2 linked regions of the Kluyveromyces lactis genome follow. The protein of the gene in region 1 purifies or fractionates together with the protein of each later gene. This does not show direct contact. Links are inferred from orthologs where the notes say so. Each region holds a gene or a part of one and is shown in the gene's direction. Other genes may lie near its edges.

The links. Proteins that work in one complex are often made in the same cells at the same time.
Region 2: the proteins of MAM33 (region 1) and PET20 purify together in Saccharomyces cerevisiae (affinity purification with mass spectrometry; 3 studies listed by BioGRID). This does not show direct contact. The link is inferred for Kluyveromyces lactis from reciprocal best matches to the Saccharomyces cerevisiae genes MAM33 and PET20.

What each region holds. Positions count from the first base shown.
Region 1 is NC_006039.1:671,072-678,354, reverse strand, and holds MAM33 (Mam33p), read left to right. Parts: upstream 1-3,429; coding exon 3,430-4,209; downstream 4,210-7,283. Other genes in the region: tyrosine protein phosphatase PTP3, read right to left, coding at 1-1,640; MRX1 (Mrx1p), read right to left, coding at 4,579-6,732; PCI8 (Pci8p), read left to right, coding at 6,861-7,283. UniProt on the Saccharomyces cerevisiae protein: Not known. Binds to the sorting sequence of cytochrome b2.
Region 2 is NC_006040.1:516,922-523,983, forward strand, and holds PET20 (Pet20p), read left to right. Parts: upstream 1-3,160; coding exon 3,161-3,910; downstream 3,911-7,062. Other genes in the region: AIM44 (Aim44p), read left to right, coding at 1-895; MGL2 (putative carboxylic ester hydrolase), read right to left, coding at 1,114-2,436; KLLA0_D06083g (uncharacterized protein), read right to left, coding at 4,294-4,644; leucine--tRNA ligase CDC60, read right to left, coding at 5,559-7,062. UniProt on the Saccharomyces cerevisiae protein: Required for respiratory growth, stability of the mitochondrial genome and for proper assembly or maintenance of mitochondrial proteins.

The sequences.
Region 1 (7,283 bases):
CGAGATTGAGTGCTGACAATTGAAGCGGACGATGAGGGGCCCAATAATCTCTGAAGTCTTTTTCTTTCTAATAACTCCAATCTTTGGAACTTAGATATAAAGTGCAGTTTTGGAATGTCCATTAATTGGCAGAACCAGGAAGGAACTACCTGATTGATCTCCTCTGAAGCAAATCTGTGGTATAGGTTATCATATTTAACTTGGAAATTTAGTTTAGATGAATTGTGGCCACTAGAAGGATCTGCTGGCGATAATGCTGTTTGAGTTGAAGTAAATGATGACGAAGTCGCATCGGTACTGAACTGTTTGGACGGTGAAGCAGGAAATTTGAAGGATCTTAGGTCATTTTCTGATTCTAAGAAAGAATTTCTTTGAGAGCGTTCATTGATCTCTACGGCCTTCACATAATTATCTAGATCGGAAATGTCATGCTCAATCTGCGGTAACTTAAAAGTTGGTAAATGTTGATTATTTATCGGTGCCGGCAGTTTAAATCCAAACAAAGATGATAATGGTGATGATGTGGATATTGGGGAACCAGATAGAGTCCTACTGTTACCGGTTTGTGGTGGCTGTTTCAAAGGAGAACAAGAATGCGAATGAGATCTACCAGAGTGTTTCAACTGCGGTTGAACTGGAGAAATATTGTCTGCCTGATGAGGGGAAGATGGGGAATCTAAGGTATAAGAGTCTTCCAAATCCATGGTACCAACTTCGACGTCATCAGGATATGCTGCATTAAATGATTCAAAACCTTCTGCGAGAATGAAAACAGAAGGCTTTTGTTTGTCACTTACATGATCGAGGATCTTAGAAGATATTCCGAAACATGCCAATGATACTGCATAATCTGTCTGGTTTGCCACATTATCGTAAATAACCACCTTGGCATTTGCAGTGGCGCTGTCACTGCCCAATAAATATTCCGATAAAGTTTCCCTTCCTGGGGAAGGTAGATTACCTATCAACCTTTCCAGATTGAAGTTTTTCCTTTTCAGTAAAGTCGAGGGAAGACACAAGTGCATTGCCGATCTGATGTGATTTTTGTTGAACTCTATGAACGGCCTTGTATCGAATATTATCAGTTTTTCATTGGGATTCTGGTCCATATTTTCAATATAATGGTGCAAGTCCGCAGGGCTAATAAACGAGCAGTCTTTATGTTTAGGAAATCGGAGATCTTTTGGACATATTGTTGGAATAGCGGGCAAGCTATTGGACTTCATTGCTATGCTCCGCGATCTACTCCGTGAAAACGAAAGGGAACTTCTATGAGATGCTGACAACGGTGAAGGTGTACATGTACTATACGAAGGTTCAGATGCTGAAGGGAAAGTCGACGCATGTATCAGAATCTTTTCGGGCAGTACCTCCGTTGAATTTCTTTTGTAATTTGCGCTCAGGGCAGGAGATGCTAACGATGAATTCGACGATTTATCATCGATCAAAGTGGATGACGAACTTAGAACTGATGAACTTTCCGATGTGAATGAGCTGCTCTGAATTGAATCACGATCTTTATACTCTGTACATCCAGATATCGATGGTGGTCTAGCGAGAGGCCTTGAAAACGAAAGAGGTTCTTTGAGTTGGATTTCTTCCTGTTGTTTGTTGGTGCCCATCGTGTCTATATACTCCATTTCTCTTCGAAATTATAAATAGATTAGATTTGACACCCTATTACTAACAAAGTACTTTCTTTCTGTATGCTTAATTTGACAGTTTTGTCTTGGTATAGGTTCTTATTTGGTGTCTTCGTTAAAGCAGTGATTCGAACAAAGTTAAAAGATAGCTGAAGATGTTGGAAGCTGTTCTATTTGGTTCAATAATGCACTAGACCTAGAAATTACGAATTAGAAAACACTTGACCGAAAAGAAAAGAAATTCTAAAAAAGATATTGAGAAGAGGATTGCATAAGGATACACAGATGCATGCATTCGAGAAACATATCCAATGGAAAAAAAAACAACAACAACAACAATTAGCACGCACATCCACGTGATATACGGTCGAATTACATAAATGCATATGTGATATAGTAATGCCCACTTCGTTGGTTGAACCAGACACCTTGCTACTTAATTAGATTACTTTTCATCTGTAGGAAATTACCTGAAAAGACACCTTATGTAGGCAGAAAGGTACTGAAAACAAAGGACTCAGAAAAATATGCGATAAATCTTCTAAACTATTTACACCCTCATGCCGATTGCAATTTTACCAAGCAATACTCATCTCTTGTTGAATAAGAACCGCAAATTGTCAAGACATGTTACAAGGATATCACGGATGAAGAAGCAGTTTCTATGGTTAATTACGACACTCTGTTGCTTTGTGAAATGTATGAACAAAAAAAAAGACACAAATCTAGAAATCAACAGTAGAGCCGAAAGAACGGTATAATAAGGACCGAAAAATATGCTAATAGTCAAAAGATCTAGATCCCCTGGGTACTAGTCTGAGAGTATGTTCTTGGACTTGTACTCTTCAACTTGTGAAAAGTAGTTTAATAGAAGAATTGCAGATGGCTGCATAACACACCACAGCAAAATCCTGGGAATAAATTTCAATCATGAGCATAATCATAGATGGGGCTCTTTTGCGCAGTAAATTACGTCGTTACAATTATTTGCAACTGGCTTTTTTTTCTTTCTTAGAACTGACAATGAATGTTGTCCTCCGTGCTCTTGCAAAAACGAACACGAATTTTCTCGGGAAAACCAAGGCGTTGATCATTGTTCCGGTTCGAGACTACGGTCGAAACGGACATTACCTCTCTGCCCTAAACACACTCTGATCAGTAAACGTTCATTTGTCAAATAGTAATGCGAGAGTTACCATGGGACTAAGGCTCGAAAAATTTCGTACTTTTGATCCAGAATGTTAGCACGGAAAGCAGTGACCAAAACGGTTCGAAAGTTCGCTTCCCTCACAAAAGAAAAGAATTTTCAATAGAAATGGACTCGGGTCTCGAACATCTTTCTGCAAGCTGAAACGAAGAAATTAACGTAGTGAAATAACTCGGAAACTAAAGGCTACCACTACTCACAAAACGAAAAGCGAAAATTACGTACGCCTAGAAGTCAACGCACTGTATCTGTACCAGGGTCCGCCCTTAGAACTGTTCGAGCAATTTGTACCCGGATGGCGTCTTTACCTCTTTTATTGGCTTGTTTACACTTTACTCATTCACGTGACGCTGAACGTGCGGGTAAATATGAAAAGGGCATCCACCTCATTACCCTGATATACTTTCTTTTTGCCACACTCTAGGATCGAGAGCTGAAAGGAAAAAGAATTCTGGAAAGATTATAAGCTCTTATATTGAACTGTGATATTTCAAGCGATGAGCTAGCTTATTTGATCCAAATTTAAGGGTTAAAACAAACCAGTCCTATAGGATAAGCCCCCTCCCCTGATAGAATACTATGTCCCTACGTTTGATTACCCGTGTTGCCTCCCGTGTTGCTGCTCGTCCAGCTTCCATCCAGGTGGCCAGAAATGTGATTGCTCGTCCAACCTTTATCACATCTTCCCGTCAACTCTCCTATACTGCTACCACTTTCAACCAACATACTACGAAGGTTGCTCAAGTTTTAAACAGCGAAGTCGAATTAGAAACTTCTCAACAAATTGTCGACTTGCCAGAAGAATTGGCTACTTTCCTGTCCAAGTACGGTTTTGAGCCTGTCGTTCAAGAAGGCCGTAACTTGGCTCACATTAGAAGACAATTGAACGATGAAACTATCAATGTCTTCTTTGACGTTGCTCAAGTTGCTAACTTGCCTGTCGAACCAGCTGCTTTAGAACAATCTGAAGAACAATTGGAGGAAGATTTCGATAGTATGTCTGATAACTTTGCCAATGTCAACATTGTCGTTGTGAAGAACTCCGACAACACAGCAATTTCATTTGAGCTTTTGATGAACATGCAAGAAGGTTCTTTCTACGTCGATTCCGTTACCCCATACGAATCAGCAGAAGATGCTTTGAATGAATCAGCAGAAGCCGAAATCAAGAGAGAATTGGGATACCACGGTCCTCCATTCTCTAACTTGGATGAATCTTTGCAAGAGTCCTTGGAATCTTACTTGGAATCCAGAGGTATCACCACCGATTTAACTTCATTCATTTCTAATTACTCTGAGTTCAAGGAGAATAATGAATACATTCAATGGTTGTCGAAAATGAAGAAGTTCTTCGAGTAATTGCAACAATAACTCTTTTTCAATATGACTAAAGACAGAAGTATTTGTTCATTCAAAAACAATTCTGCCTCTTGGTGGTTTTACTTCACTACTGATCACTGAGCTTTATGATCCCTCTATCAACATTTCTCTTGTATATACATAATTTTTCTCTTACCTTTTTTATTATGGATTTTTAAGGCAAATTTGTACATTATATATCGCTCTATGTAATATCTGTTATAATGTACCTATCGTCTTTTCCATTGGTACCTTTGATTATTACACCGTTTGCAATAGTTTAATTATTGAAATGCAGAGCCAGCAAAAGACAAGCCTCCAAGTGAGATGCCTTTTTCATTGGTTTAGTATGTACAGGAGGCATCTCAATTATGTTGGTGAAAAGTCATCAATGTTGGTGTCCAATATTGTTTCACAATATTGTCTAAACAATTTTTCGATTTCGGGGCTGTTAGAATCCCTATCATGTTCTAGGTTATCCACAACCTCTAGGATTCTCTTTCTTAATCTTATTAGATGCCTACGAAACAAAAATTTTCTTTTAAGTAAAGAATTTGAATCTTCCGCTTCAGCTTGCACTTCCTTTAGTTCTTCATCGGTTAAATTCAAAGATGATTCCAATGATTTTATAAAACGTACAGCTTCAAGATAAACAAAACGCATACTCTCTCGAGTGCTTCCTCTCTGCTTCAACAACATTACTGGATCACAGAGCATTGTGGTAATGAACTCGTCTATTATCGTTTTCTTGAAAGTCAAAGGTAACGCGTCTTTGCATGACATAACAATTCTCAATAAGAACATCCATGGTTTCCAGGATAAATAGCTCTTGTACTCATCATTTTGAATCGAAGTCTTTGCTTCATTGTCCTTCATAAGTGCAAGACATGATTTTACAAGTTCTGTCGCCTTTACAGGATCACTGTTGTTTAGCTTTTTAGTAGCCTGTCTTTCAAATGCTTTATAAGTTAAAACGACGTGCTGTAAGGGTTCCCGCAACATACCATCATCCATCATCTTACGAAGTAGCTCATAACATCTCTCTCCACAGTTCTCCGGATCTGCTTTGATAATTAAGTTCAACGCAGCGTTTATTGTTCTGTTGTTGAAAAGGTTTGGTCTTTTTCCCAGGTAATGCTCGAAGAAAGCGATACCATATTCGTATTGTCCGGTCTTAAAGCAATTTTCCATTAAAAGATGTGCAACATGGGGAGTCAAACGCATTTTAGATTTGATATTCCAATTCTTCAAAGCAGGCAACTTGACAAATTCTGGTATTTCTTTCTTGAAACGAACATTTGGGACCTTAAAATCATAGAATATATCAAGCAGAGGCAACACACAATTGGAAAATCGTAGATCCCTTCTAGAGTGCCAAACGTTCAAATAATGAAAAAACATTTGTGAATCGATAACTTTGGGGTCAGCAGAGTTCATTATATCATCAGCCCTTTGAATGGCTTCCACTGCATCTGTAATCTTCGCACATCCAATAAGTAGTTGCGTGTACGCAATTGCATCTTTTTTTATACCTTTGGGTCTCAAATCAAAACATTTGAACAGGTAACTAGGGTCGTTAGAGTTCGCCAACGCACTTAATGCAGCGTTAAAATTTATATTATTGAGTCTTTCATCTTCAACCAATTTTAAAACTATCTTCACCACTCGTTCTGCAACTTTGACAGAAATTGGTTCTGGCAACCTTGCCAACCCTTTGAACAAATTTGTTTCAGTGTATTCATTGGGAGGTATTTGCCACTTCTTTCTCCAAGAATATAAATCCACAGCGGAATGGCTATCTTTTTCAACTTCTAGATAATGTGTCATTAATGTGTTCATTCCAGCTGCACCATTTGGTCCAGCAAGCTTTATAAGAAATAAAGCCTTTTGCAACTGGCCTCTCTTACAAAATTTCGCAACATCGCGTTCCACCAATATTGAATTTTTTAGTTGAGGTCTAGATATACCTAGTATAGTATACATTAATCTTTTATCGTTAGCGACAGAAAGAATGCTCGTATCATCGTCCGAAGTTGGTCCTACTTTGATAGACTTATCAAGATTAGTAATTTTGTGTCTCCCTTTTAAGATTTCATTCGCTTTCTTAATGGAATATCCGTACTTCCGAGCTTTGCGTGCTTCCCTTCGAGCGATATCCCTCTGCTTTCCATTTTCCTTCTCTGTTCGCTTCACAAGTGTCTGTGTCTTCTGCAGAAGGTCCAACTTAACCTTCAACGGTGAGCCGTAAGGTACCCGCGTAGCATGAAATGCCCTAACAAAGCGCTGCGCACATGGCACATGTATAACTGTTCGACCTATCGACATACAGATTCTGATGCTTGCTGACTGACTATCCTGTCTAAACTGCTCTTGAGGTGTCTGCGATGAGGTTGTACTCAAAGATTCGACCGTGATTAATATTTTTCCTACTACAGAATCATATTGGAAAAATTGACATAATATGCAAAACAGCCATATCTGAACGAGAACAAGAAACAGTGTAAGCTGCATCACACGAGACATAATTAAAAAGACCAACAAGGTGAGTAGTACTAGAATAACATCAAAGCCTCTGAAAAAGAGTTAGCATTGTTTGCGATTGCATTTTTTACATGTTTTGGGGCTGTTTTTGATAGAATATTGCATTATATATGACACAAGGTAGGCTATTTTATCCGTTGGCAGTGCTTCAAGATCGTCATTTCAGATCCAAATATCCAAATTACAATGAAAGTAGAGAGCTCAAAACCTGGAGTGTTGTTTCAAAGCGATTTCCTGCCTGGGAACAAAAACTAGTATCTATGCTACTTGATAATAAATACGCTGAATCCATAATATTTATCAATAGTGATGTTTCTATGAGCTCAGTGGGTGTTTTCAAACGGACCAAACTCCTGATTAGAACTCATATTCTAAATTCTCATTATAAAGCAGTGATTGATTTTGAATCTAGGCTCAATACCCAACCCATTACTTCTGAGCCAACGGAATTAGCGGATTTCATCGAGTGCAAGTTATTATTGATTTTAAATTGGTTCCTAAGGGGGGAATATCATCAGTGTTTACAAAGGTTC
Region 2 (7,062 bases), on another chromosome or scaffold:
ACAATCGATGAGATCAATGGCTTCTTACTCTGATACATCCTCTCCAACCGTTCCATCTGGATTGGATATAAAGAATACCCCGATTGTCAAGCATTCCTCCAACATCAACCATCGTTCATTGAGGAGAACTCCATCCTCTATTAAGCGTGCAGCATCGATCCTTACGAGCAGTAATTCACTTATTTTTTCTAGAAGTAATTCTTCCGTCGGAAGAACTGATTCAACCCGTTTAGTTAGGTCTCAACCTTCTCTAAATTTAAACTTAGCGGTAAGACAACCTTCCATCGTTGTTAAAAATAAGGTGATACCACTTTCTCAATTCGATCATGACGATTATTGTATTAGAGAAGAAGACGAAGACGAAGAAGACGAAGATGAATATATTATCGATACACAAAAGATGCAACCACTAAAGTCAGAGATGGGATCTATTACATCATCCTTACATGATGGTGATTCTGTCTTCGAAGACGCTATGAGTTCGTCTGCCTCAATGGAATCATTGAGTGAATCTGTCAAAATTCTGAATGCAAATAAGGCTTGGGATTCTTACCTTCGTGCAGTTATCTCACAAAGAATTTTGATGAGATTGCAAGTCGCGAAGTTCCAAGCTTCACAAGATCACCATACTTACAAAGAATTGCTTGACGCCATTGTCACAGACTATGAAAGCGATGCTATCTTTTCGAATAACGACGCACAAACAGAAAATGACTCCATGTCAGAATGTGACTCCCCTCATGAGTTCGACACTCTAACTGATTCCTCGAGAAGTACACCAGCAGTTGTTCCACAGAGTTTACGCGAAAGCTTTTCGTCATTAGCTAATTTCCAAACCTCTGTGAAAGCCGGTGTTCGGAGAAATCTAACATTACCTGTAGGTATCAGCATCTGATATCTCATTTCAATACATTAGCATTAGGAGAGAGCCCATTTATTATTGACATATTTTTCCTGGACATAACTCCCTTCTTCCACCTCCCCTCATTAGCATTACAACATCATTGATTCCTATATATTCATATTAAGATAACCACGTTTGTTGTTCATATTTATCGCATTTCTAGTTCTCAACAGATAGAGTCAGATATAGACAGGGTTGTTTAATTAACTTTATCTGATGATTCTATCATTTTTGAATTTATTCTCTTTAGGCAGGTCAACAGATTTAAGATCGGGTGCGAGACCTTGCATTGAAATGTCTGTATAAAATTTATGAAGCAATCTGCACAACGGTTTCACGTACCACCTGTCCAAGTTCATGTCAAACCATCCAATGTGACCTCCCCTTGTAGTTGTTAACATTAAGGTGTACGGATTACTTTGGACTTCACGATATGGTAGCGCTTCACATCCAACAATAGGATCATCTAAGGCATTCAGAATCAGTAATGGAGTTCTCAACTTGTTTAATCTGTTCGAACTCGTACCGTGCCTGTAATATTCAAAAGACGTATTGAATCCAAACATTCTAGCCGTAAAAAAGTTATCGAATTCTTCCACTGTTTTCACTTCATGTAGGTGGTCGGCGTACATACGCGCCATTTCAGGATTTTGCTTCAAAACATCAAGATGAGATGTCGTTAGTTTAACTAAATTTTTCGCTAACGCTGGAGTGTAGGCGTATTTCCCTATCAAGTTTCTTTCCAAATGATAAGATGATGCCGTTAAATCCCATGGATTTCCCAACACAACACCTAATTCTACGTCTGATTGATCGGATTCTTGTCCCAGATAATTGGCCGTCATACTTGCCCCTAAAGAGACCCCACATAAAAAGAATTTTCTATTAGGAAACTTGTTCCTCAATTCCTTCACGCAAAACCTTACATCATCAGTCCATAGCCCACAATACAAAAATGGTGTCGTAATGCTTGATTGGCAGCACCCACGGCTATTTAAGACGCAGGCTTCAAAATTGTACTCGTTCGTGATGGTGTCAACTAAAGATCTGACATAACTTTCGTTAGAACCACCTGTCAACCCATGTAATATAATGAGCATCGGCTTTGTATCAGACGATCCGAACTTTTCATCAGCATCAAAATAGGTATACCTCGGAAGCAGTTGATTTCTCTGATTTTTGGGAACGTAACCAGTCTCTTTCCATAACGATTGGGGAACACACACATCTAGTGCACCTTCACCGCCGTCTGGATAATTGAGAATATATCTCTTATAATAAACCAAATGTTTCGATTCGAAAGTGAACATCGAAGCAAAAATCGTCTGCATATGACCACTGCAAAGAAAAGGTGGAATCACACACTTGCTATTATGTTGGAACTCCGGTGCATATTTGTCAATTAATGATTTAATGCTGACACTTTTTGCAGTTTTGCCTGGTTCGCTGTTAAATTGTAACAGCTCATCAGGTAAGAACTGCTGTACAGTTTGAACCCACGGTAATAACGAATATAATTCTCCCAATACCATTAGTAGCTGAAAAGCTCTCTAACACTCAAACACTGTTATTGATCCTCTTTTCTAATGTACCTTCTTTCTATTACATTAATCCATGAATAACTACCATAATGTTAAAGACCGATAGCATTAAGGTTTACTTTTCTTTCTTCAAAAACCCATTATAAGATAAAATACGTAAGGTCAGATGAAGACAATTCTAGATAGAAAAAAAAAAAACACACAATTGACATGCGAGCAATCGTTGGTAAAAGAAATCGCTACACGTTGGAATCAGATGCTCTATGGGTAATTAAGCGTTGCCACGGCTACAAACATATAGCCTAAAGTCACTTGTTTATTAGTATTTTGGACAAAAATTATGTAATATAATCGTTACCTATGACACACATCTACAGGTTCCGGAAACTGAAAAGAAATTTGAAAATAAAGATACCTGATTTTCACTTTTAATAATCAACCCATTTAACGAGAGGTTTATCCTCACGAGAATACAACAGCGATATACAACAAATAACGTGCTGATAGCAGAACATTAACATCTACGTCAAGGTTGCTATTAGTTTTACTAGATCGATCACCACTGTCAAAGGGTTAGAGACTTTTGAAGCGAGCTGTTTTTTTAGGTGTTGCTACGAGTTGTTTATTGGAAAATCTGGAATCTGTTTACTCCTTGTTGGTTTTCCCTCAGTGAAAGATAGAAGGATACTTCTATATCGAGGCACATATAATTACAATGATGTTCAGCAATGTACGTCTCGGTTCACGCTCTATATACGTGAAAAATCGCATATCTGCGGTATCACTTATAAATGGTGTAAGGAACCAGAGTTCTGTCAACTTCCAAAATAATCAGATGTTACAAAAGCAGAACTTGAAGCAATCGAAGCTCAAGAGTAAACGATCAAAACGTAAGGAGGACGGCGATCTTGTGGATTCGATGAAGCTTGAAGGTAAGCAAGAAAGTTCGGCATCTGCCTCTTCTTCTCCTTCTGCGGAATTAGGTAAGGATTCAGAGGAGAAGATCATAAAAATGGCCACGAAGAAGTTATCTAGAGATTATTCATGGTTACCAAGAGTACCAACCACCGAACATATATTAAGAGAAGAGTTCAACTCGGATATGTTATATTCTGGTTATAGACCCATCGTTGTTGGGGATAAGAACGCAAAGGAGAACAAATTGATGCAGTTTGCCATGAAATTAGAAAAGCTTAGTGAACCTGTACCCTGGGTATCAAGTGCCACGGGACAAGAATTTTTCAGCGAATGGGATAATGTACCATCAGAGATTATCAAAGATTTGAAACCGTTCCATCCACCAAGTATTGAAGAAACAAACAATGCAAAAAATAAAGAAGCCAAGGAAAAGTTACAAAAGCAAATATTACTGAATGAACAAGACAAATTAATAAATCGTAAGCGAGGAAGAAAGAAGCCCATAATCAGGTTATTGGATCTGAAACGCAAATTCGAGAAAGAATGAGAATTGAAATCTTTGGAATGCCAAGTTGATTCTTGACATTTTCTCGAGATTCTTTTTATTTGGGCTAACGATAAACAATTATTAGAATCTCTCTCTCTCCCTCTTTTCGTTAAAATCATTCCAGGGACTCACCATACCCCTGAAGGACTACTTTCTAAGTTAACACTATAATATTTCCAATTTTTCTTCCCTGTATTTCACGATTCATATATAGTATATATATCTAATGCATACGATTTAACAAACACAAATAATTTCGCCTTTTACTTCTGGAAACTAAAATATGTATGGAATCTTTTACAGGAGTCAAAAAATTATGACATCTTTCAGCAATGAAACGATCCGACCAGCATTTCCACTTTGTATGTTCCCTTTCCCAATTCTTAAACGTCATTAATCTTTGAAGATTTCTTTGAGTTTTTAGCTTCGCTACAACTGTTGCCGCTATAGCTATGGTGTATTATCTTTTCAACAGTTTCGAAGGACGGGAGTGCTTCATAATTCTCCAATTTCGTTCTAAAATCGAATTGTGCACTAAGCATATCGTTCCTGGTTTCCAATGTTGAACCGTTCAACGTCTCTATTGTATCACATAGTTCCATACATGTATCGAGATCAAAATCCTGCTGCCGACTATACACTATGAACTGTTCTGCATCGTTAAAATATTCTGCAAACACTTTATCGCAATCCTCTTTTACAAGTTGTAGTGATACAGAATCGTGCCAGCCCATTGAGAGATCAAGCTTTCCCTACCACTTGCTGCCTCAATGACAAGATAATCGAACCAAATCCTCTATTCTACAGAAACCTGGATAAAAATATGTGGTGGCCCGGTATTTTCGAAACTGCATCAGATACACACACATATATATATATATATATATATGACATATGCATCAGGTAGTTCCCATGCGTCGACCTATAACTTCCTTCAAAATAGCGGAGTTGCCAACAGAAACGTATATATGCCACTACTGTGAAAGTCCATAGAAATCGACTGACTCAAAAGAAAACATCTCTGAAGTTTTGTCGCATTTCTCCCACGCCAAAAATTACATCATATTGGAAAACTGAACAGCAAACACAGCATAAACGATTCGTACAAATTCCCAGCTTCTCGTTTCGTTCCAGAGGCTTTTCCAGAGATTTGTCACCTTGTCTTATCTTCAGCGAATAATATTCGAAACAACTGACGGAATTGGGGCTCTAATACAACACACAAAAGCCCTTAGTTTATCCGAGACACCGCGAAGACCGGGACTCGAGCGACGAAAACCTGTGCTCTATTTGGCTCTCTCTCCAATGGAAAACTGAAAACGAATTAATTCCGGGGTATTTCAGCGCGGGTAACAAGGTTTTTTTCTTCTCTTACATGGTATATCTGTTCAAAACTCCGAGAAAAGACACAGATGAAGAAGCATTTAACTCCGATTTTGGCGTGGGTTGGAATTTCTAACTGAGTAAGCAATTAAATTTGGTTGAAAACAGAATATACAAAACGGTTACAGAGAAAATTCACATTACAGGTTGTTTGACATCGGTACCGTTTCTATCTTTCTATATAACAGATGCCTATGGGGTCATCTTCTAAATGTTGTTTGTGTGATTAATTATTTTGTTATTGTTAATTTATTTTTATCTATCTCTATTCGACGTTCTTGATCAAGATAGCTGGTTCACCTGGAATAGCGTTTTCAATGGCTTTGCTCTTTTGAATCGTAACTTCTTCATTAGTAAATACGTTCTTGGCGGTTTCTGAGCCGTATGGTAACGAGAGAATTTCGTATTCGGAAATCTTGATTGATTGAGAAGACTTCTTCAAAATATCGAATGTAGACTTTACAGTTTCGATTTCGTTGAATAGTAAGTCTCTTGTGAAGACAGATTCTGGTGATTCAGTGGTTAATCTTTGTTTTAGTAAGGAGATGAATGGCATAGCACGCTTCATGTCCTTTGGATCGACCTTAGTCTTGACAACCTTGTTGTCGTCCAAAGTTTGGTTTTCGAATAATTCACGCACCAAATCGATGTACTTAGTTTGCCATTCTGGGAAAGTCTCAATAATGTACAAGGTCAACTTAGCTGGCTTTGAAGCATCAACGTCAGAACCCTTACCCTTCTTCTTTTTCAAAGCTTGGCCCTCTGCTTCTCTGATAGATCTTTGTAGATCTCTAACGTATTCTAGAGATACAGAGATACCGATGTCGACAGGTTTGTTGACAGTTGGGAACTTAGCGTTCTGTACGGAACCTTCTTTCTTTAAGACTTCACGGTAAATGTAGTCAGCGAAATGTGGTGCTACTGGTGCTAGCAACAATACTTGTGTTTCAATGTAACGTAGCACTAGATCACGGTGCATGACATCAGATGCCTCACGATAGTAATCTCTAGCAGCTTGATAATCGAACAAACCGTACTTCATAGCACTTTTATAATTGGTGGCAGCGTATTGCTTGTAAGTTTGTTCGATCAATGAATTCATTTCATTTTCGAACGCGATGTCAAAGAATCCATACTCTGAGTCGGTACGCAAATTCCCAATGTCCTTGACCATTTCTTCGGCCCATTCTTTCAAGTTATAGAGTCTTAGAATAGCAGCATTAGCATTAGATTCATCCAAGTTGGCATCTTCAACAGTGTCACCTGCATCAGCAAGAGCAATACGGGAAGCATCGGCACCGAATTTCGTCACCATGTCGTGCAAAGTCATGAAGTTACCTGTAGACTTGGACATCTTAGCATTGTTCAACATCAAATGACCGTTGACTCTGATACCCTTTGGCCAGAACTTTCTTGGGAACAATGCAACGTGAGTGTAGATAAAGAAGGTCAAGTGGTTTGGAATCAAATCCTTACCAGAAATGGAAACATCCAATGGGTAGAAGTATTCGAACTCTCTTCTCAATTTTTGCAAAGATTCTAATGGGATATCAGTGTTTTTCACTTCATCGACGTGTTGGAAGACATAGTCAAACACTTCATCTGTCATTTGTTCTGCTTTGATTCCCAATGGACCAATTTCGTTACCGTAGTAATCTTTGAATAATAAATGCGCAATGGTATAGAAGGATTGGTAGATAGTAGAGTCAGACAAAGATTCAACCAAATACTTTGGATCCCATGGTAATCTGGTACCTAGACCGTAACTA